Saccharomyces cerevisiae S288C: one gene and its partners. Changing the gene in region 2 together with the main gene of any one other region gives a genetic interaction. Each region holds a gene or a part of one and is shown on either strand. Other genes may lie near its edges.

The links.
Region 1: mutations in YPL150W (region 2) and YOR019W together harm fitness more than expected from each alone (negative genetic interaction), as found in Saccharomyces cerevisiae (3 studies listed by BioGRID).
Region 3: mutations in YPL150W (region 2) and ULS1 together harm fitness more than expected from each alone (negative genetic interaction), as found in Saccharomyces cerevisiae (3 studies listed by BioGRID).
Region 4: mutations in YPL150W (region 2) and BEM1 together harm fitness more than expected from each alone (negative genetic interaction), as found in Saccharomyces cerevisiae (3 studies listed by BioGRID).

The regions. Positions count from the first base shown.
Region 1 is NC_001147.6:366,361-370,839, reverse strand, and holds YOR019W (uncharacterized protein), read right to left. Parts: upstream 2,714-4,479; coding exon 521-2,713; downstream 1-520. Other genes in the region: HSP10 (Hsp10p), read left to right, coding at 1-316; ROD1 (Rod1p), read right to left, coding at 3,958-4,479.
Region 2 is NC_001148.4:266,563-271,393, forward strand, and holds YPL150W (non-specific serine/threonine protein kinase), read left to right. Parts: upstream 1-1,625; coding exon 1,626-4,331; downstream 4,332-4,831. Other genes in the region: mRNA splicing protein PRP46, read right to left, coding at 1-973; ATG5 (Atg5p), read left to right, coding at 4,748-4,831. UniProt on the Saccharomyces cerevisiae protein: Putative serine/threonine-protein kinase.
Region 3 is NC_001147.6:690,587-697,884, forward strand, and holds ULS1 (translocase ULS1), read left to right. Parts: upstream 1-1,888; coding exon 1,889-6,748; downstream 6,749-7,298. Other genes in the region: SPR1 (glucan 1,3-beta-glucosidase), read left to right, coding at 109-1,446. UniProt on the Saccharomyces cerevisiae protein: ATP-dependent helicase involved mating type switching and in silencing interference through its interaction with the silencing regulator SIR4. Cooperates with UBC4 and UBC5 to mediate ubiquitination of SUMO conjugates.
Region 4 is NC_001134.8:618,849-623,056, reverse strand, and holds BEM1 (phosphatidylinositol-3-phosphate-binding protein BEM1), read right to left. Parts: upstream 2,186-4,208; coding exon 530-2,185; downstream 1-529. Other genes in the region: YBR200W-A (uncharacterized protein), read right to left, coding at 1-74; KTR4 (putative mannosyltransferase), read right to left, coding at 2,754-4,148.

The DNA of each region.
Region 1 (4,479 bases), on a different chromosome or scaffold from region 2:
CACCCTTTTGAAGTCTGCTAAATCTATCGTTCCATTGATGGACCGTGTCCTTGTCCAAAGAATCAAGGCACAAGCAAAGACAGCATCCGGGTTGTATTTACCTGAAAAGAACGTGGAGAAGTTAAACCAAGCTGAAGTTGTTGCCGTAGGCCCGGGCTTTACTGATGCTAATGGTAATAAGGTTGTTCCTCAAGTTAAAGTTGGTGACCAAGTTTTGATTCCACAGTTTGGTGGTTCTACCATTAAATTGGGTAACGACGATGAAGTTATTCTTTTCAGGGACGCTGAAATCCTGGCTAAGATTGCCAAGGACTAAGAATGATGTCTTCTTCAACAGAGATTTTATATACATACTCTATATGTATGTACCTGTAAATAGGCCATTATGTATGACAGGAAAAAAAAATAATTGAACTCAAATTTCTTCTGCTATTCAGTTGCTGCCCCCAATTGTCTGCTAATAAAATTGATCTATTCATCAATAGGAATTTTAGGGACACTATGTGTACAAACTATCCGCTCATATTTTGCCGAATAAGAACAATGATTTCTTCTTTTTTTTCTTCTTCTTTTTCTTGTCGTTACGATCATCACTTTCAAAAACATCGCCACTGCTACTATTCCTTCTACTGGATGATTTATTTCCAGAGGAACTTCCACTTTTAAACACCTTAAAAATCCCAACTCCACCCCCAGTGAAGGTGTTCACAGTACTAAAACTAGACGAGCTTTTCTTTGACCCTGCACTACTTGAGGAGTCATTAGTTTTGACTTTTCTTAACGCACCGGCACTTTTAACTTTCCTCAAAGGAATGCTATTATCAACACTACTGCTTTTATCAGATGGATCAAAGGAATTTTCTTTGTCGAAGGAAATACTGTGCCTTATATCAGGCAGATTTCTGGCTTTGCCAAGGGCGGCTCTTCCATCTTTGTGTTTTACAGAGGTTGCAAACTTGATTTGGGACGTAGGCGAGCTACTGAGTTTAATAGTTGTTGTGGTATTTTGTTCCTCTGAGGAAGAATATGGTATTAAAGATTTTCTAAACTTTGTGTTTTTCGACCCATTGCCTATCAAAGCATTCTTAAAGCTGGAAATTTGGTCACCGTGACTGGACTGCGATACATTTTTACCAGGCAACGTCTCTATCGCTAAAGAAGACTTCAATGACTCTCTAATTATGATATCAATTTTCTTCAACAAAAGTTTTTCCTTAGTACATTCTCTATCTTTCTCATCGTCTTGTAATTTTTCTATATCACCCGTGATCTTCCTTCTTGAATGCTGGGCGAGACCGGTCAATTTTCTTGGAATGGAATCATTAGAGGTGTTGAACTGCTTTTTGATGTAGCCTTGCCTTTTGAAATCTTCGGCGTACGAATCTACGGAAATATGTGAAGAAATATCTGATATTGTATTTTTTTTGAACATTGAACTGCTCATGCTCTCAACGTCAGTGTGTTCGTGCTTCATATGATTTTTTGAGACATAATGTTCATTTACTTCTCTTTGTAGATTCAGTTCGAACGAATACATTCGTTTCGAGGGAACAACAAATGTGGGAATCGGATAACTAACAGGAAAGACATCTGTCAGCTTTTTGGATTTATATGTAATAAGATTCTCATTTCGCTCGTGCTTTAAAGTAGCAAGAACTAAGAAATCTGGAGTATGGACATTAATGACATCTACCAGACTTTTTTTAATTTTGCCTACAATTATTTCTAAAGTAATTTTGACGGATATTTTGACCACTTTTACTAGCTGTAAAATATAATCAAAAATGTCGTTTAATTTTTGATCTATTACTTCTTTTTGATATCCCGGTGCCCATTCTGTATCATCTTTTGCAGTTTTTTTCCTGTTAGAAATCATTTTTGGCAGTGTAGTTATGACAACAATGTGATCAAGATTTCGTGCAAACTTGTAGACTGTCCAGTCTAGGGCAACCCACGTATGTTTTTTTCCGTTAATGTGACAAACTATTGTCTTAGGGTTATTGGGATATCCGACCTTTTGTTGAAGTATTTTATGCTTTCTTTTTTGTTCTTTTGTACATGGTGCACTATCATCTCCTCTATATAACGGTTTAATACGCTCTTCAGAGAAGATAAGTTCTGGGTAAGTAAACCATTTTTTTTTGTCATTCAGCCTTTCATTTATTTGTAGTTTTCTTTGGCGCCATAACTTTATCCAGTTCTTTTCAAACCTGTTTATCATCAACGTTTCGTTGACAATTACTGGCGTGCTTGGATAGTCTCTCCTCACTATTTTTCCATTCTTGGATACCAAGAAATATTTTTTGATGTCAGAATTCTTTTCCAACAACTTTGAGGATCTCATTGGAAAACTACTGGATTCAGATTTGTTCTCTTTTCTAGTATTCAGAAAAGGTGATGATTGGAATGTATCTCTCAAATAATATTGCAAATTTGGCGAAAAAGAGTCTGTTTCATCGTCATAGCACTCTTCCATCGTGTAATAGTTGGGAACAGGTACACCTTTGAATCCTTCCCTGCTGTCGTCTATAGAAGAATAACCAGCGGTGGAAGGCACTGTGTCAAAGGCAACAGATGGTTGGAAACTGCCTTTCTTTTTGGCCCGTTTTTTAAGGTTTTGTTCATTTCTCTCTTCGAATTGTTGTCCTGGAACATCGAATGTGAGGCTTCTGTAGCATTTTTGCAAGTCATTTTGTGGGCAAACAGAAATCATAATAATTTAAGGTTGACTTGCCAAAAGGGTGCGTGATCTATAGCAAGTTGAATATTAAAAGCCTTTTTAATGAGGAGTCCTTATTTTAATACGTGTTGGATTCGATGTCCTTTCTTTCTGGTCCTATGCATTAGTGTGGATGGTAACGAGACATGAACCCAGAAGGATATATATGTATCTATCTGCAAATCATATTGCTACTAATAATGGTAGATTGCCATTCACAAAAAAGCCGCCCCTCATAAAACTCAGCCGCGCAAGCTTTGAAAAGGGGCGAGCGGCTGAAACAGAACGGTCTTCTAGAAGGCTGATTCAGCAGTAATTAAGACAAAAGCAGTACTACCAGCAAGAACATAGGAGGTGATTGAGTTATTAATTGAGGTACATCTGAATTGCAAGAACTCTAAATATTTTCTTTTGCGATGAAAAACTGATGCTTGTGTGATTAACATATAACGTAATTCATTGAGAGAAAAGAGCAGCTGTGCTCGAGATCAATGAGTTGACTATAAAAATAGCAATTTCCGTAGGATCGCAAAGTTGGCTAACCGTATAAAATGGGAGGATATATACGAATGATGTCTGTGGGATCTTTAACATTTAATTAGAAAATTTTGTAGTGCCAATAATTGTTGAGGAAGAAGTGCCAAGTAAAGAAAAACAGATCTTCTGAAGCTCATTGTATTCTCATTATATTCTCTCAAAAATACGTTCGTATAACTGATTAATCCTGTTTTTCTAATCACTATTTTAATGTTTCAATTGAGGGATTTTGCCTTCATACAATTGTTGAGAGAAATTTTCCAACAAGTATGGGAAATATGAGCAATTCTTATCTTTTAAAAACAAGAACTGGTCCGATATTATTCACCTCAAACATATTGGACGAGATCATTTTTAAAACGTTAGGGGTGGGGAGGATATCAATAAGTTTTCATAATTATGTTAACCTTCAAGCCATAAAACCGAGTAAGACCACTTAACAAAATCTATGAGAAGCCTTGCGGCAGAATCTGACAACTTCAGTGAAATTTTTTTGTGATTATAGAAGCATAAACTACAACGCCGAATTGTTTTACTTTATAGCAATTATGAGGTAGTATTATAACATTATATTATCATTTTTCAAGTGGTATGAGGTATGAAAGTACTCTATCAAAGTATATATGCTTAACTGTACAAACGTGTATGAAGTATTGCTCATATCTTTTTGTCGAAATTTCGAAGACAAAAAATAAAGCAGTCTATGAGCGATCCCGTTTTGTGAACATCTCCATTAAATTAGCAAATGAACCTGTTCCTTGTCTTAATGGTGAGTTGCTATTGTTGCTCCGAACTGACGATGAGCGTGACCTTCGATTGTGGGTTGCGCTCGTATAGTTTTCCTCTTCTCTTGGCTTATTAGCGTCAGATGTAGAATCAGTTTTATCAAAATGTGAATTGTTCTTGGAACTTGAATTACTAGTGAAAGATGTTGTCATATTAAACGGAAAATGTCTGCTTCCTGTGCTGCTTTTTGCTGAAGTGAAAGAGAGATTTAGATTAAATGAACTATCTGTGTTGTTTCTCGCCAACTGCTGCAATGATACTGAGGATCCGCTATTATTCCTTGGTAATGGAGAGTGGGATAAATGTGTCCTACTAGACGATCTTTTCAGATTATTGGAACTCTTGCTCGAGCCTGGAAGTGGCAACAAAGAGGATGTAGACTTGTGATGAAGAATTTGTGGCCTTTCTAGTTCAATTTTTTTATTTTCTTGAACTCC
Region 2 (4,831 bases):
AAGCCACCGAAAACTCCTTAGGATGCAACGCTGTAGCTCTCACAGACCTCTTATGATGTGTTAGAACTTTCATTGTTTTCCCAGCAACTACATCCCATAACCTTACCGTAGCATCAGTCGATGAACTCACCACTTGAGGGTCTACTGGAGTACACTGTACTTGATTGATTGGACCCTTATGCCCAACTAGTGTAATAACAGGTATTCTGGTTCTCATATCCCAGAGTTTGATAACGCTATCTCGGCCTGCGGTAGCTATGAGATCCAGCGTTGGATGTATGCTCACCGTACGAACCCCCGATAAATGTCCATAGTAATCTCTAATAATTTGGTTTTTCTCTAGGTCCCAGCATTTGACCGTCTTATCTTCACTAACAGAAAATAAATAAGGATGTCGATCTGACACAGCAACGTCTCTCACTGTCATTACATGCCCTGCTAAGGTAGTTTTTAATTTTCCTGTTGCAAGATCCCAAACTTTCATTGTCGTATCATTACTTCCGGTGATGAACCATTCGTTGTCAACAGGATCGATTGCAACGCATCGTACCCATCCAAGATGGCCATTGATAACGCGTGAAAGTTTCCAGGGTGCATGCCATTCCGGCCTTTGTGACAGAAGTTTTTCGTATCGATTAACTATAAGTTCTTCAGCAACCTCTGGTTGGAAAATTTTATTCACAAAAGCAGATGCATGCGTATCGTGATCTTTCTTGCTAATCACTGCTTGTGATGCTTCTGAAAAATCTGTAGGAACATGCTGCAGAGTAACTTTCTTGCCTTCACCACTAAAAGAAGAACTTTCCTTCCTATAAGTATCATATCGCATTAGCAATGATTTCTGACCTTCCATTTCGCTTTGTAGGTGGGGCGGCAGAGTGGCCATATATGAAAATTGGTTATTCCAGCGTATTCTGGAATAAAATTTGTCTACATCTCCTAAATTTTCGACTTTGTGATCATTTCCGTCCATTCTCACTAATCTCCATGTAACACAGTGTCTGCATCCTCGGAAATGGTTTTAAGATGCAATGAAGTGGGTAATAATTACTGTTAGCTTCACATCTTGAATAATCTTTTATTGCCAAAATTGTAGCTTTTCCGTATTAGATGATGAAGAATTTTGAGCACCCTTACTTAATAAAAGAGTTGTTGAACTCGAAATAGGAATACGAGATGAGGAGTAATTCTCTGAAAGTAGATAGCTCCTCTTGTCACATTGAATGCTACTTTATTGTGACTATAGGTGATTTAAGCGAACGAATGTTCTTAGGTCATCGTGGATTTGTGTGGTGATTTTCGGCTTATCTTAACAATGTTGACCGCGTGGACCCTCCCAATCTTGACAACAGAACACTTATCAATAACGGTATACAATAAATATCTTGTATGAATTAAATAAAGTAACGTTTTTTCCCTCATATCATTCCGAATCATTACGAAAATTCCAATACCTGTATTTTGAAGTCAACAAGAGTTTCGTTATCCGAATACTATTTTTTGTATCAATAAATTTTGTTTCGTTTTTCATTAATAACTAGTCACTGTGTAGTGGAAGCAAGTTCTCCTTATCCGTTGCCAAGAGACAATAAAAGACCCACATATAGGTGAATATACTGCTCACCATGGTTAATCCTGTTGGATCCTCGAAATTGGAACAAAACAATATAAAAAGCATTATAGGATCATCGTACAATCGACTATACAGCCAATTTACTTCTGATGAGTTGACAGAAGTGGGAAACTACAAGATTTTAAAACAAATAGGTGAAGGAAGTTTTGGAAAAGTATATTTAGCGCTCCATAGACCAACACATCGTAAAGTCTGCCTAAAGACGAGTGATAAGAATGATCCCAATATCGTTAGAGAGGTATTTTACCATAGACAGTTCGATTTTCCTTATATTACAAAGCTTTATGAAGTGATAGTGACAGAATCAAAAGTGTGGATGGCATTAGAATATTGCCCAGGGAAGGAATTATATGACCACTTACTTTCTCTGCGTAGAATATCGTTATTGGAATGCGGAGAGTTGTTTGCACAAATTTCAGGTGCTGTTTACTATGCACACTCAATGCATTGTGTTCATAGAGATTTGAAGTTAGAGAATATTTTATTAGACAAAAATGGAAATGCAAAATTGACGGATTTTGGTTTTACGAGAGAATGTATGACAAAGACGACATTAGAAACGGTTTGCGGTACCACAGTTTATATGGCACCTGAATTGATAGAAAGAAGGACTTATGATGGATTCAAGATTGATATATGGTCATTGGGAGTGATACTATACACATTAATTACGGGATATTTGCCATTTGATGATGACGATGAGGCTAAAACGAAATGGAAAATCGTCAATGAAGAACCGAAATACGATGCTAAAGTTATTCCGGACGATGCTAGGGATTTGATCTCACGATTATTGGCTAAAAATCCGGGAGAGCGCCCATCGTTGTCACAAGTTTTACGCCACCCTTTTTTACAGCCTTACGGTTCAGTGGTTTTAGATCAGACTCAGAAAATTTTGTGCAGACAGCGCAGTGGAGGGACTCAGTTTAAAAGTAAATTAGAAAGGCGATTGCTGAAGCGTCTTAAACAATCAGGGGTTGATACGCAAGCAATAAAACAATCAATTTTGAAAAAAAAGTGCGATTCACTCTCGGGTCTATGGTTATTGTTGTTAGCCCAAGGGAAAAAGCAAGAAAATTGCAAATATCCAAAAAGAAGCAGGTCCGTTTTATCAGTCAAAAAAGTTATTGAAAGTGCTACGCATAACGACACTAATGGCATTAGCGAAGATGTTTTGAAACCCTCACTTGAACTTTCTAGAGCTGCTTCATTGAGTAAAATGCTCAATAAAGGCTCAGATTTTGTAACATCGATGACTCCGGTTAGCAGAAAGAAGTCTAAAGATTCAGCAAAAGTTCTGAATCCTACTCTCTCTAAAATATCCTCACAAAGGGCTTATAGTCACTCTATTGCAGGTTCTCCTCGCAAGTCCAATAATTTCTTACAAAAAGTTTCTAGTTTTTTCAAGTCAAAAAAAAGCTCTAACAGCAATAGCAACAATAGTATTCACACAAATGTTAGTGAAAGCTTGATTGCAAGCAATAGAGGAGCCCCATCTTCAGGGTCGTTTCTCAAAAAAAACAGTGGTTCTATTCAGAAATCAAGAACTGACACTGTTGCAAATCCTTCAAGGACGGAGTCTATAGGATCGTTAAACGAAAATGTTGCCGGTGCCATTGTGCCACGGAGTGCTAATAATACTACATTAGAAAATAAGAAAACTTCTGGGAATGAAATAGGCTTAAAAGTAGCTCCAGAACTATTATTAAATGAACATATCCGAATAGAGGAACCTCGCCTCAAGCGCTTCAAATCGTCCATATCAAGTGAAATATCTCAAACTTCTACTGGTAATTATGATAGCGAATCTGCGGAAAATTCTAGGTCTATATCTTTTGATGGAAAAGTTTCCCCGCCACCGATACGAAATCGGCCATTGTCAGAGATATCGCAAATTTCTAATGACACTTATATATCAGAGTACTCCACTGATGGTAATAATTCGTCATTCAAAATTTCAGACACTATCAAGCCGAGCTATATACGAAAAGGCTCTGAAACTACCTCGCAGTATTCAGCTTCATCCGAAAAAATGACAAATGGCTACGGTAGAAAATTTGTCAGGAGGGATTTAAGCATTGTATCGACTGCGTCGAGCACCTCTGAAAGAAGTTCAAGAACAGATTCCTTTTACGATATCACTACAGCTACACCAGTTGTGACCACTGATAATAGGCGCAATAAAAACAATAATCTGAAAGAGTCTGTTTTGCCCAGATTTGGGACTCAAAGGCCATGGACTGGCAAAAGGACGTATACCACGTCCCGCCATGGCAAGAATGCTAGGCGTTCGTCTAAAAGAGGTCTGTTCAAAATAACTTCTTCAAATACAGACTCTATTATTCAAGAAGTAAGCTCATCAGAAGAAGAAGATCATAATGTTATCTATAGCAAGGGAAAGGGTCTTCCAACACCAGTTTTGCAAACTAAAGGATTAATAGAAAATGGGTTGAACGAACGCGATGAAGAAGGAGATGACGAGTATGCAATTCACACTGACGGAGAATTTTCTATCAAACCGCAGTTTTCCGATGACGTTATCGACAAACAGAATCATTTGCCCAGCGTGAAGGCTGTGGCAACTAAACGTTCGTTGAGCGAAGGAAGTAATTGGTCTAGTAGCTATTTGGATTCGGACAATAATCGGCGAAGGGTATCTTCATTGCTAGTAGAGGATGGGGGGAATCCTACAGCGTAGGTACCGGATAACAGAGTAACTGGTAAAAACGGCAAAAAATACTGTAAGGAAGTTGTCTATATATGTACATATGGATATTGCGGTATAATAAAAAAGCTTTAAAATTATAAAGAAACCCGACTTTTATCACATATAATTATATTATAAAAAAATAATGGCATCTGTATGAACTCGCGATTAAGCTCACTTTTTTCTAATGATCGAAGTTTTGTCCGGTTATCCAACTGTGGCAAGAACATCGCGAGGCGGAGCTAAACACAGAATTTTTGTAGCGCGATGAGAAACATAACGCCTCTTTAGATAAATTATCATCACCTTTTTTACACTAAATAATGAAGTAGCATGCTCAGAAGTGCGAATGAATTTTTGTTCTTTTGGTTCTAGAAGAACGGAGATAGGAAACCTATGATGTAAGTATGAATGACATTAAACAATTACTTTGGAATGGTGAGCTTAATGTGCTGGTATCGATCGATCCTTCATTTTTGATGAAAGGAAGT
Region 3 (7,298 bases), on a different chromosome or scaffold from region 2:
TTTTTTTTACCCTTCTCTTTTAATTGTTCAATTGCGAACAGACCATCCAAAGATTCGAAAGAAAGACTGAGGTGCTCCGCATAAAATCTTTATAAACTTTAGAAGTAAATGGTTTCGTTCAGAGGGCTGACTACACTAACACTACTTTTTACCAAATTAGTAAACTGTAATCCTGTTTCCACAAAAAATAGGGACTCTATACAGTTTATTTATAAAGAAAAGGATAGTATATACTCTGCCATCAACAATCAAGCCATCAATGAAAAAATTCATGGAGTCAATTTGGGTGGGTGGCTAGTATTGGAGCCGTATATTACACCTTCTTTATTCGAGACTTTCCGTACTAATCCGTACAACGATGACGGTATTCCTGTTGATGAATACCATTTTTGTGAAAAATTAGGCTATGAAAAGGCAAAGGAACGCCTTTATAGTCATTGGTCGACGTTCTATAAAGAGGAAGACTTCGCGAAAATTGCTTCTCAAGGCTTCAATTTGGTTAGAATTCCTATTGGGTATTGGGCCTTTACAACGTTGAGTCATGATCCCTATGTTACCGCCGAGCAGGAATATTTTCTAGACCGGGCTATCGATTGGGCTAGGAAATATGGTTTGAAAGTATGGATTGATCTTCATGGAGCCGCTGGTTCACAAAACGGATTTGATAACTCAGGGTTGAGGGATTCATATAAGTTTCTGGAAGATGAAAATTTAAGCGCCACCATGAAAGCTTTAACGTATATTTTAAGCAAATACTCAACAGACGTATACCTGGACACCGTTATTGGAATCGAATTGCTCAATGAACCGTTAGGTCCAGTTATTGACATGGAAAGATTGAAAAATTTGCTTTTGAAGCCGGCTTATGACTATTTGAGAAATAAAATTAATAGCAACCAGATCATTGTAATACATGATGCTTTTCAACCTTACCATTATTGGGATGGGTTTTTGAATGATGAAAAGAACGAATATGGCGTCATAATTGACCATCATCATTATCAGGTGTTCTCGCAGGTGGAATTAACAAGAAAAATGAATGAACGTATCAAAATCGCCTGCCAATGGGGGAAAGATGCCGTAAGCGAGAAGCATTGGTCCGTAGCAGGCGAATTTTCAGCGGCCTTAACAGATTGTACAAAGTGGTTAAATGGGGTTGGTCTAGGTGCCAGATATGATGGAAGTTGGACCAAAGACAATGAAAAATCTCATTACATAAATACGTGTGCAAACAACGAGAATATTGCCTTGTGGCCCGAAGAGAGAAAACAGAACACTAGAAAGTTTATCGAGGCTCAATTAGATGCTTTTGAAATGACTGGTGGATGGATAATGTGGTGTTACAAGACAGAGAATAGTATCGAATGGGATGTTGAAAAATTGATTCAACTCAACATTTTTCCGCAACCTATCAACGATAGGAAATATCCTAACCAATGTCATTGAAATTTTGTGGCATATATTTAAGGTCTTGGGAATGTGATGATTATTATTGGAGAAAAAATTGCCATCTAAAACTCTTTATATAACATGATGAGGTATACAAATAAAAAATACTTTATATCTTATAATTATGCAAATAAAAGTGCTTCCATCAACCGCTACTTCACTTTTTATCTGAACTATGAATGGGGAGCTCATGATGATTACCTGTTGATATTACGTGAGGCGGAAGAGAAGCACGAGACACGGGTCACTCTCGATATTACCGGACAGTTTACTTAGACTATGTAACGAATATGAGAGGAAGAAAAACAATAAATAAATACAAACCTCTCCGCAGTTTTATGAAAGAACAGGACAGGGCGTCTATACCGATTTTTACATCTATCTTTTGAGTGCTTGAAAGGAGACGCTGGACTATATCTTTAGGTTAAACATCTGTCAAATGGCAGCAGTACCCACCATCGACCTTACACTAGCCGATTCAGATAATGAAGACATATTCCATTCTTTTTCGTCTTCAACAAGTGTGGATAAGATAGACATTAGGAAAGAAAATGGGAAATTAAGAATGGCAGGCTTGGAAGTCGCCCAATCTAATGACGATGCAGCACGTCAAGCATTCCATGTTTTCAAGACGAACATATCAAATAATGAAACCTTCGATACTATTCTTTCAAAGAGCAAGACAATCACAGACAGTACCTTCAACAATGAAAAATCTTCCAACGAAGTAAAACAGCAGCAAGTCTTGAAGGAAGAAACGATGGGATCTTCCAACGATGAGAAGAAAACACAAGAGAGCAGCCCAAGCGCAGAGATGATAAAACTTTTTTATGAAAACGATGATGTGCCGTTATCCGATAGTTTTAAACAAAAAGAGGAAGGTAAAAGAATAAATCAGGATGAGCAAGTGAAGGAAAATATCTGTGGCATTTCTTCCTCATACGTCTCCAAAGACTACGATGGCGTTGAAGATGATTTCGAGCCTAATACTTGCCAGGACAGCAATTTGGATTTTCAAGAGGAGAAGTTAAACTTGAATAACAAACCGTCACAGCAACAGTTCAGCGACCCAGAAACAAAAGATAACAGTTTGAAGAGCGAAAACAAAGACCAAATAAAAGGAGTCACAACAACAAGTTATCGTGATTTACCTATTGAATCTAGTGCTTTCCAGGATTCTGAAACTCAAAATAACTCCAAAAACACTATACCTAACATCGTAAATGAAAAGCGAACGCCAGCATTACCGTCCAATCTAAGCTCTGTTGAGAGTTCCCTTAAAAACGAGACGGCCAAAGTAGAGGGGAAGACGACCGTTCGTCTTCCAGGACTTCAAAATAATGTTGCCTTACTTGAGCAAGAACAAAGTGAACTATTCAAGCACTTTAGTGAACAACCTGTCGATATTAGCGATTTTGGTCGTAAGATTAAAAGGAAGCATAGCGGAGATTTTGCAGATAACAAGATACTTAAAAGACCGATATTGCCCTCAAAAAATATGGACCACACAACACATAATTCACATGATTCCGAACAGAAAAATAGCTCGATTATTATTCTTTCAGATGAGGACGAATCTGGTGCCGGTATCAATGATATAGAAAGTCCTTTGAAAGTTTCTGAACCAAATACAGCTGATGCGCTTAGGAGCAGTGTACCAGAAGTCATATCTTTACTTGACCTACCCAATATTGACTTGAATAACTCAGTAATAAAAGAAGCAAGTGGCAGCAATTCAATTCCTACATCAGAAACAGACGCACAATCCTCGAGTTCGTCAGTTCTTCAAGGAACTATCATGACAGAACAAGCTACTCAATCCTCTCAACACGAATGTAACAGTTCACTTGATACTCTAAAAAAAAATCATCAAAAATTATTGAAGGATTTGAATTCTAGAGAGTCTGAACTACGTAATGCTCTCAGTTGCTGCAAGACAAACTCTGAAATTTTAAGAAGGAAACTAAGTAGAAGAGAAAAGGAGGTCTCTGATGCTGAAAAACATTGGCAGTTATTGTTGACATCGATGGCTAGAGGGGGAAGAACTATCAGCTCAACTCAGCAGATATTAGTTGATGAAGCTGAGAACCAATTAAACAAACTGAAGGAAAAAAGACAGTTGACAAAATCGAAGCTAGATTCAATCAATTTGAAAATGTATAATTATAACGAACAATGGAAGTCCTTTGTGCATTCGAAAAATATAAACCTGCAGAAATCTTTGGCTGCCCTTGAGCGGTCAGCCAGGGATAGTAAAGCTTCTGCGACCGTAAATAAAAGAAACGAATGCCTGGCTGAGAAAGAAAAGCTAGACCAAATGTTAAAAGAAGGAACCCTAAGCTTCAGTACCTACAAGCAGTTAACAGGGGAGATCCAGCAGAAACTGAATGACTTGAAACTGGGGGACCAACGCACAACTGATATCAATAGTGTATTGCCAATAGTACGGCAACCTCTCGCCAAAAGAGATTTATTTATTAAGTCCATTGATACTGCAAAAGATTTATTAGCCAAGAACACATCCAGGACAGAAATGACGAAGAGAATTCTTTATAGACATTTGGACAACTTGGTCTCTTATAAAAACTTTTTTGAAGACGGAAGATCCTTAATAGATATAAACAGAAGACACGTTGCACATGAATCGGCCCAAATATTGTTCACCAACGGTGTAAAGATGCCCATTGTTTTTGAAACATTACAAGATTACGGCATCAAGTTTTCTAATCCAGCCATTGTCAATCCTGACAGAAGAGCCCAATATTTTAAAAGCATCGAAGTTGCACGCGATCTCATATCAAAGTCTACTAGATCAGAGGATGCTAAACGAAAGATTACTCGATTTTTGAATATAATTGAAGAATTTCGTAAAGATATTGACACCGGATTTCCACCTACTCCTTTAAAAAGGGAAGGCGTCGGAAAAGCTGTTGTTGGGCTAAGACAACAAGGACTTAAGATGGACAGACTATATGAAAATTTGAGAAGATATAAGATTCCAATAACAAGTGAAGAATTACTGCAGCAAAGCTATTTATTTCCGGTAAACGCAGATCAACGACCTCCTTCAAACTGGAACATCGTGGAAAATACCGAAGATACTAGTTCTACAGCCAATGATCTATCGATGCAAGATGAATTTCACATCTCTAATATGCATGCAGCAGAAGATCAAGAACAGATTAGGGCTCTTTTAGAGAATGTCAAACAATCTGAATCCATTATAGACGGCGAAGCACTTACTCCCGAGGATATGACCGTAAACTTATTAAAACACCAGAGGCTGGGTCTGCATTGGTTGTTACAAGTTGAAAACTCCGCAAAAAAAGGGGGTCTGCTTGCTGACGATATGGGCCTGGGTAAAACGATTCAAGCTATTGCATTGATGTTAGCAAATCGCTCAGAGGAATCCAAATGTAAAACCAATTTGATCGTCGCACCAGTCTCAGTCTTGAGAGTTTGGAAAGGTGAATTAGAAACGAAAGTAAAAAAACGCGCAAAATTTACTACATTTATTTTTGGAGGATCAGGTAACGGAAAAGTTAAGCACTGGAGGGATTTGGCAAGATATGATGCTGTTTTGGTATCTTATCAAACTCTAGCAAACGAATTTAAGAAACATTGGCCGAAAAAACTGGATGGTGAACAAAATCAGCTACCAGCTGTGCCTCATATACAAGCTCTTAATAGGTTGAAAACCTCAAATGAATACTACTCTCCATTTTTCTGCAATGATTCAACGTTTTACAGAATTTTACTGGACGAAGGCCAAAACATCAAGAACAAAAATACAAGGGCTTCTAAAGCGTGCTGTACTATAAATGGAATGTATAGGTGGGTCTTGTCTGGTACGCCGATTCAAAATAGTATGGATGAGCTTTATTCCTTGATAAGATTTCTAAGAATTCCACCCTACCACAAGGAGCAACGGTTTAAATTAGACATTGGAAGGTTTTTTCAGAGAAATAAGCAATATCAATATGATAACGAGGATAGAAAAAACGCATTAAGAAAGGTTAGAGTCCTTCTAAATGCCATTATGCTTCGTCGGTCTAAGGCTGATAAGATCGACGGCAAACCTTTACTGGAGCTCCCTCCTAAAATTGTGGAAGTAGATGAATCACGCCTGAAGGGAGAGGAATTAAAATTTTACACAGCTTTGGAATCAAAAAATCAAGCACTCGCTAAGAAATTGTTGAACAATTCTACGAGGGGGAGCTACTCTAGCGTTCTCACATTACTACTTCGCTTAAGGCAGGCTTGTTGTCATTCAGAATTAGTTGTGATGGGAGAAAAAAAAGCGGAAGGTACAAAGGTAGCTAACGGCAAAAGCTTTGAAGATGACTGGCTCAGGCTCTACTATAAAATCACTCACATGAGCGGAGAAGCGCAGGCTCAGGTTATTACTTCAATGAATTCTATGACATGTTTCTGGTGCATGGAACAATTAGAACCAGAAGCGATGTCCGTTCTGACAGGTTGTGGTCATTTGATTTGCGACACTTGTATCGAGCCCTTCATCGAAGAGTCATCCATGCTACCTCAGGCCAAGAAAACCAAAGGTGGGGCATTTGCTATCCCATGCAAAGATTGTCAACGTTTGACAAACGAGAAAGATATTGTTTCGCACAAGTTATACGACCAGGTAATAAACCAGGGATTTACTGAGGAAGATTTGCATGCAGAGTATTTAAGTGAAATGGAGAAACAAAAAATACAGCAAAAAAATGTATATGTGCCAAATTTTGAGAGTTTAGAACCATCTACGAAGATAGAGCAATGTATACAGGTTATTCAAAGAGTTTTTGATGAATCAGCAACCGAAAAAATTATTATTTTTTCCCAGTTTACAACATTTTTTGAGATTCTCGAACATTTTCTCAAAAATAAACTGAATTTTCCCTACTTGAAATATATTGGATCAATGAACGCTCAGAGAAGATCAGATGTTATCAACGAATTTTATCGTGACCCTGAGAAAAGGATACTTCTGATTTCCATGAAAGCCGGTAACTCAGGACTAACATTGACATGTGCGAACCATGTAGTTATAGTTGATCCATTTTGGAATCCTTACGTCGAAGAACAAGCTCAAGACCGTTGCTATAGAATTAGTCAAACAAAAAAAGTCCAGGTGCATAAATTGTTTATAAAGGACTCTGTTGAGGATCGTATTTCTGAATTACAGAAGAGAAAGAAGGAAATGGTCGATTCTGCCATGGACCCAGGCAAGATAAAGGAAGTGAATAGTTTAGGGCGTCGGGAGTTAGGATTTTTATTTGGTTTAAACGCTCTTTGAAGAACTTGGTGAATTTTGAAGCATTATTGCGATACACATATGTATATGTTGATAATTGGTGGCTAAGCTTCTAGTTTGTAGGCTTAAGTAACTTCACTCGTTGGCACTTACGAGCTTGGCATTTAATGGAACAGAAAATAAGCCGTAAATCGGCCCTACTTTAAGTATAAGAAATATGCGAAATTTGATATGATCGTTTGAATTACTTTTTGAAAAAGAAAATACCATTAGTAACATACAATATAAGAAGCTCGTCTCCTGGATTTGGAAATCCACAAAAGATTATCAACAATGCCACGAATAACATAATTGCTTCCCCCTCCTGTTAATTGCTTTAACTCATTATTGCATCGTTAACAGTTGTTACTAAATTTGATTTTTGTTTCTCATCATATATGTAATCTTCAAACGCCAGTATAATTATACGCTCGCAACAGCTACCATACATTAATGAACCGATGAAAATATCCCGTTTGATGATAACTGGCAATTAAATGACAGTATTAATTAATAATCAAAGCTGATCTTATATTCCTATAAAAGAGAAGCG
Region 4 (4,208 bases), on a different chromosome or scaffold from region 2:
TGAAATCTACGCCACTTCATTAAATCGAAAGGGAGCCACATTATCCTTTGACACATATGGAAGCACAAAAGCATATTTAAGAATAAATATGTTCAGAATTTTTCTTGTAGTCTCTTCTGAATTTTACGTCAGCAATATAACTTAAAATACCTATAATTCATGCATTATGATTGAGTGGAAATATTTGGCTTTTTGTACGTTTTTTTTTACATGTGGTGTAAAATCTTTCATATAATTCATTTTCAGGTGAATTTAAGCTTAGGTACCCAACTTTACATTTGAAGAAAAATATAAATAAAAAATATTTCCAAGTGGTCTAAAAAGTTTAAGCAACTTTCTATATACATATATGTCCTTATTTATTTTTATTACAAATCACGCTGTTTCGGAAGAATTGGATACCTTAATATTATTACTGTTCGGGAGAATCTTATTACTCTCGCAAATCATCATAAAGTTGATTAAAATGTTCAACCTATGTGCATCTGCCAAGTAAAGAAGAAAAATGCTTCGTCTTCTAACACTAGATTCAAATATCGTGAACGGAAATTTTCAGTTTGGCTTGGATTATGTTACTGACTTGTGAATCAGTCTTAATTTCCTCCCCGCTACCATCAAATAATTTGGTTTGTAATTTAAAATTATCTGTATCAATCCTTGGAGCGATTTTACTACGAAGTTCTTTATAGGTTGTGTCACCCTTCAGCATTAAAGCAAAAATATCGTCTTTGTAATAAAATTTAATTTTAGTAGTTTTCAATCCAGAAGTTGATTGGGCTGGAGCCTGCTTGGAGCCCGATAAAGATAAATCTGAGAGTTTCTTGTTTAACTTCAAGTCTTCGCCAGTTAAAGTGTTGTCTTGGTTAGTTGAGGCAAAATTAGAAGTTTGAGATGCTGTTGCAAAGGTTGCTGTATCGTTTTCTTGTAATGTTTTAATATTGTTTTGATTTTCGTCTCTTTCAAATTCTCTGTCGAAACCATTATTCAAAACAACGAATAAGGAATGCACCATTTCTGAGCGAGATATATAATCGGGAAGATTCACTAGGTCTGCCACATATATATTCAAGTCCTCCTTTCTTTTTTTTGTTATGCTATTGGTAACGTATGGAACGGGTCCAGGGATATAGGGCATTATACGTTTGGACCATTGTCCACCTGCATCCCTCAACTTACCGGCCTCTGCTGGGAACGCATCCAAAAGTTGAACCTGCAGATCGTAGAAATCTTGATAGTATCTTTTCAGTTGCCTCGTCTTACCGTTAGATAATTCACAGCAAACCAAAAACCAATACTTCTCATCTTCTAACCCAAAGGATTCAACGGATGCTTTCACTAATAATTCACCGTCAACCAGCTTTGCGCTTTTGTTCTGAGGTTTTGTAATGGATTGCTGCTGCTGCTGCTCCACAGAACCAAGGCTAATATTACTAGCTTTGTATCTTGCAATGTTGCTTTTCCATTCTTGAACAGTTGGTAGGTTAACTGACTTGATGTCTTCTATTACGTCGTTACCTGTTGCGTACCCCGTGGCAATATCTATGATGCTAACAAACCCAACAGGAACAAGGCCGGGCCCTCCAAGTCGACCAATTGGCTTAGCAATGAACCATTCACAGTTATGGTGGGCGCAAATAAACAAATTCTCTCCCACATAAGTTGTCAACTCATCAGCTTTTTCTGCCTTAAAGTCATATAAAACAATGGCGTATAACGATCCCATGTTTAATGAATCATTTGTAACCTTCCGACTTGAACTATTGGATCCATTCACAGAGGAAGGTTTAGTTCTATCAAACACTTCAAAATAGGTTTTGGGGACAACACCCTCTTTTCCAGTAGAAGGATTTGAAGCTTTATACCAATCCTTCTCATCTCCAGATACATAAAAAAATTCACCTTCCATGAAAGATAGTTCCTTTGAAGTTTGTGCCTGATAACTGTATTTGGCTTTTATAACTTTCTCTGGAGAAGTAATATCTTTAGAATTATGTCTGTTTTTTGGTGAAGAGTCCCGTTGGCTTTTCACTGGGGTGGAAGATGAAGAAAGGTACCTCACTGGTACTGTCTTAATATGCTTTATAACACTCCCATTATCATGAGAAGGTGTGGAAATATCTGCGGATGTAATTCTGCCCTTCGACCCATTACTATCTCTTTTTGAGAGTTTGAAGTTTTTCAGCATTTATATGGCTTTCTTGACAATTTCTTTTCACACAGTGCTTTCAACGTGCATCCATATGGGTTTAGTATATTAGTGAAAACATATGCTGATTAAGATGGTACATCAAATTATGGCTGTATTGTCACTTTCTTTTTTTCCTGTTCGTAAATGAATGGGGCCCTTCGCCATTTGTCCGTTTAGGGTAATATTAGTTAAGAAGCCGTTAAGGCCCGGGAAGAATGTCGAATAACAATAGATAAGAGATATTGTAAAGTTTTTGGATTTCGGTTTACCATATTGTATTGAAATGATTGAAAATATAACGACATTATAATTCCATATTATCAAGTGACATTTTTGAGGAGTAGCTTTCTCAAACCAATAATACCTTCAACAATACTATCTACTGGCTGAGAAACATTTCATTTTCCATGAATGTTCACCTGTAACATTTTTAGGTTGCTACATTATAAACTTTTCTTAATTCCATAATATATATCTATCTATGTGCGTCCTAAATTAAATCATAAAACCCCAGATGTGATGCCGTTCTCGAAAGCAGCGGCACAAATTCTCAAAGCTAATGTCTTCAATACATTTCTAACTCTTCCTCAGACATAGAGTGTCTTATCCAGGTTGCCTGGCAATTTTGGTTGTCTAGATCACTCCAAGGAGTGAATTTGCCTGGTACACAATTTCCATTACACCTATCTGAATCTGCTGGACAAGTTGGACAGTTCGTGTACGGAGTATGGTGATAACCTATATCCCTGAACCAATGGATGCTTGACTTATCCGCAAATAAAGCAAGTGCCAAACTTCTTACAGGGGCATCACCCCACCTTTCATAGTAGAATCCTCCCTTTTCTTCAAGATATTGCATATATTTTTCATAAGGTTCTGACCTCAAAAAGTCTAAATCGACTATTTCAAAATTGGTCCAGAAATGACAAGTTGAATACCCTTGAGTATAATCATAATTTTTTGGATTTTGAGAGTTATCTTTTAGCCATGCGAAGGCTCCGTTGACGTTCAAATAGTTTGGGTGTTCCTCGACAAAATCCATAGTTGAAGTCCATAGCGTTTCGATGGTTTGCGGACTATCATAGAGGTTCAAAACAAACCCATAAATCTTGTCATTCTTGTTCATAAATTGGAAAACGTCATAGTTAATTTTGCAATAGAAATTCACGTTTGGCTCTAATCTCCACACATATTTATATTTAGATAGCAGAGGATGATGGTAAAATTCTTTAGAATAGAAACGACACATGTTATGATAGGATTCCACCTCTGCATACTGAATGTTCTCTTTACTCATTTTGTCCATTTCTTGGTCGTATCTCTCCCTATCTATGCTATCAGGCATATTCCAGTTATCTGGACCAATAGTGCCAAATTCTACTACACGGTCCTTAGGAAGAATACTTTTTATTCCATCTTTGAATTCGTCAGTAAATTCCTCATCGTTAAGGAAGGTATAGGGATATCCAAAATTCTTATTGTACTCCTCTTCTAGCTGTTGAATAGAAGAAATTATATCCTCTAAATCAGAATTTCTCACCAAACTCAAAATAGTTCCTTTTGCCTTGCCGGCTAACGGATCCCCGCTACGTACCAAATTGTCCACCTTTGGCTCAGAAATTTCTTGAAGTAAAAACTCCTCGTACAACTGTTTATTTTCAGCAAGGACTTCATTCGGGTCAAAAGTGTCCTTTTCATAAAGGGGCTCGTGTAGCCTGTCCATTATGCTATCTAACACCTCAGCATCATGATCAGGAAGTTCATCAGCGCTTTCAGTTTTACCTGTAATACTTTTGTAGCTCTCCCGGAGAGAAGCATACTGGGACTTGGCACTATCCTTGACTGCTTGCAAATAGTTCTCATTCGCCGTTAAAAAGTAAAGAACAACGGTTACGGCAATCGATATTAGAATGATCACTGAAAGTACAGGTTTCAGTATCCTTTTTGAAAGAAACCTCATATCAGTTCGTATGGTTCACCTTGTTGGGTCTAAACTAAAAATTGTGTTCTGCTGTAACGG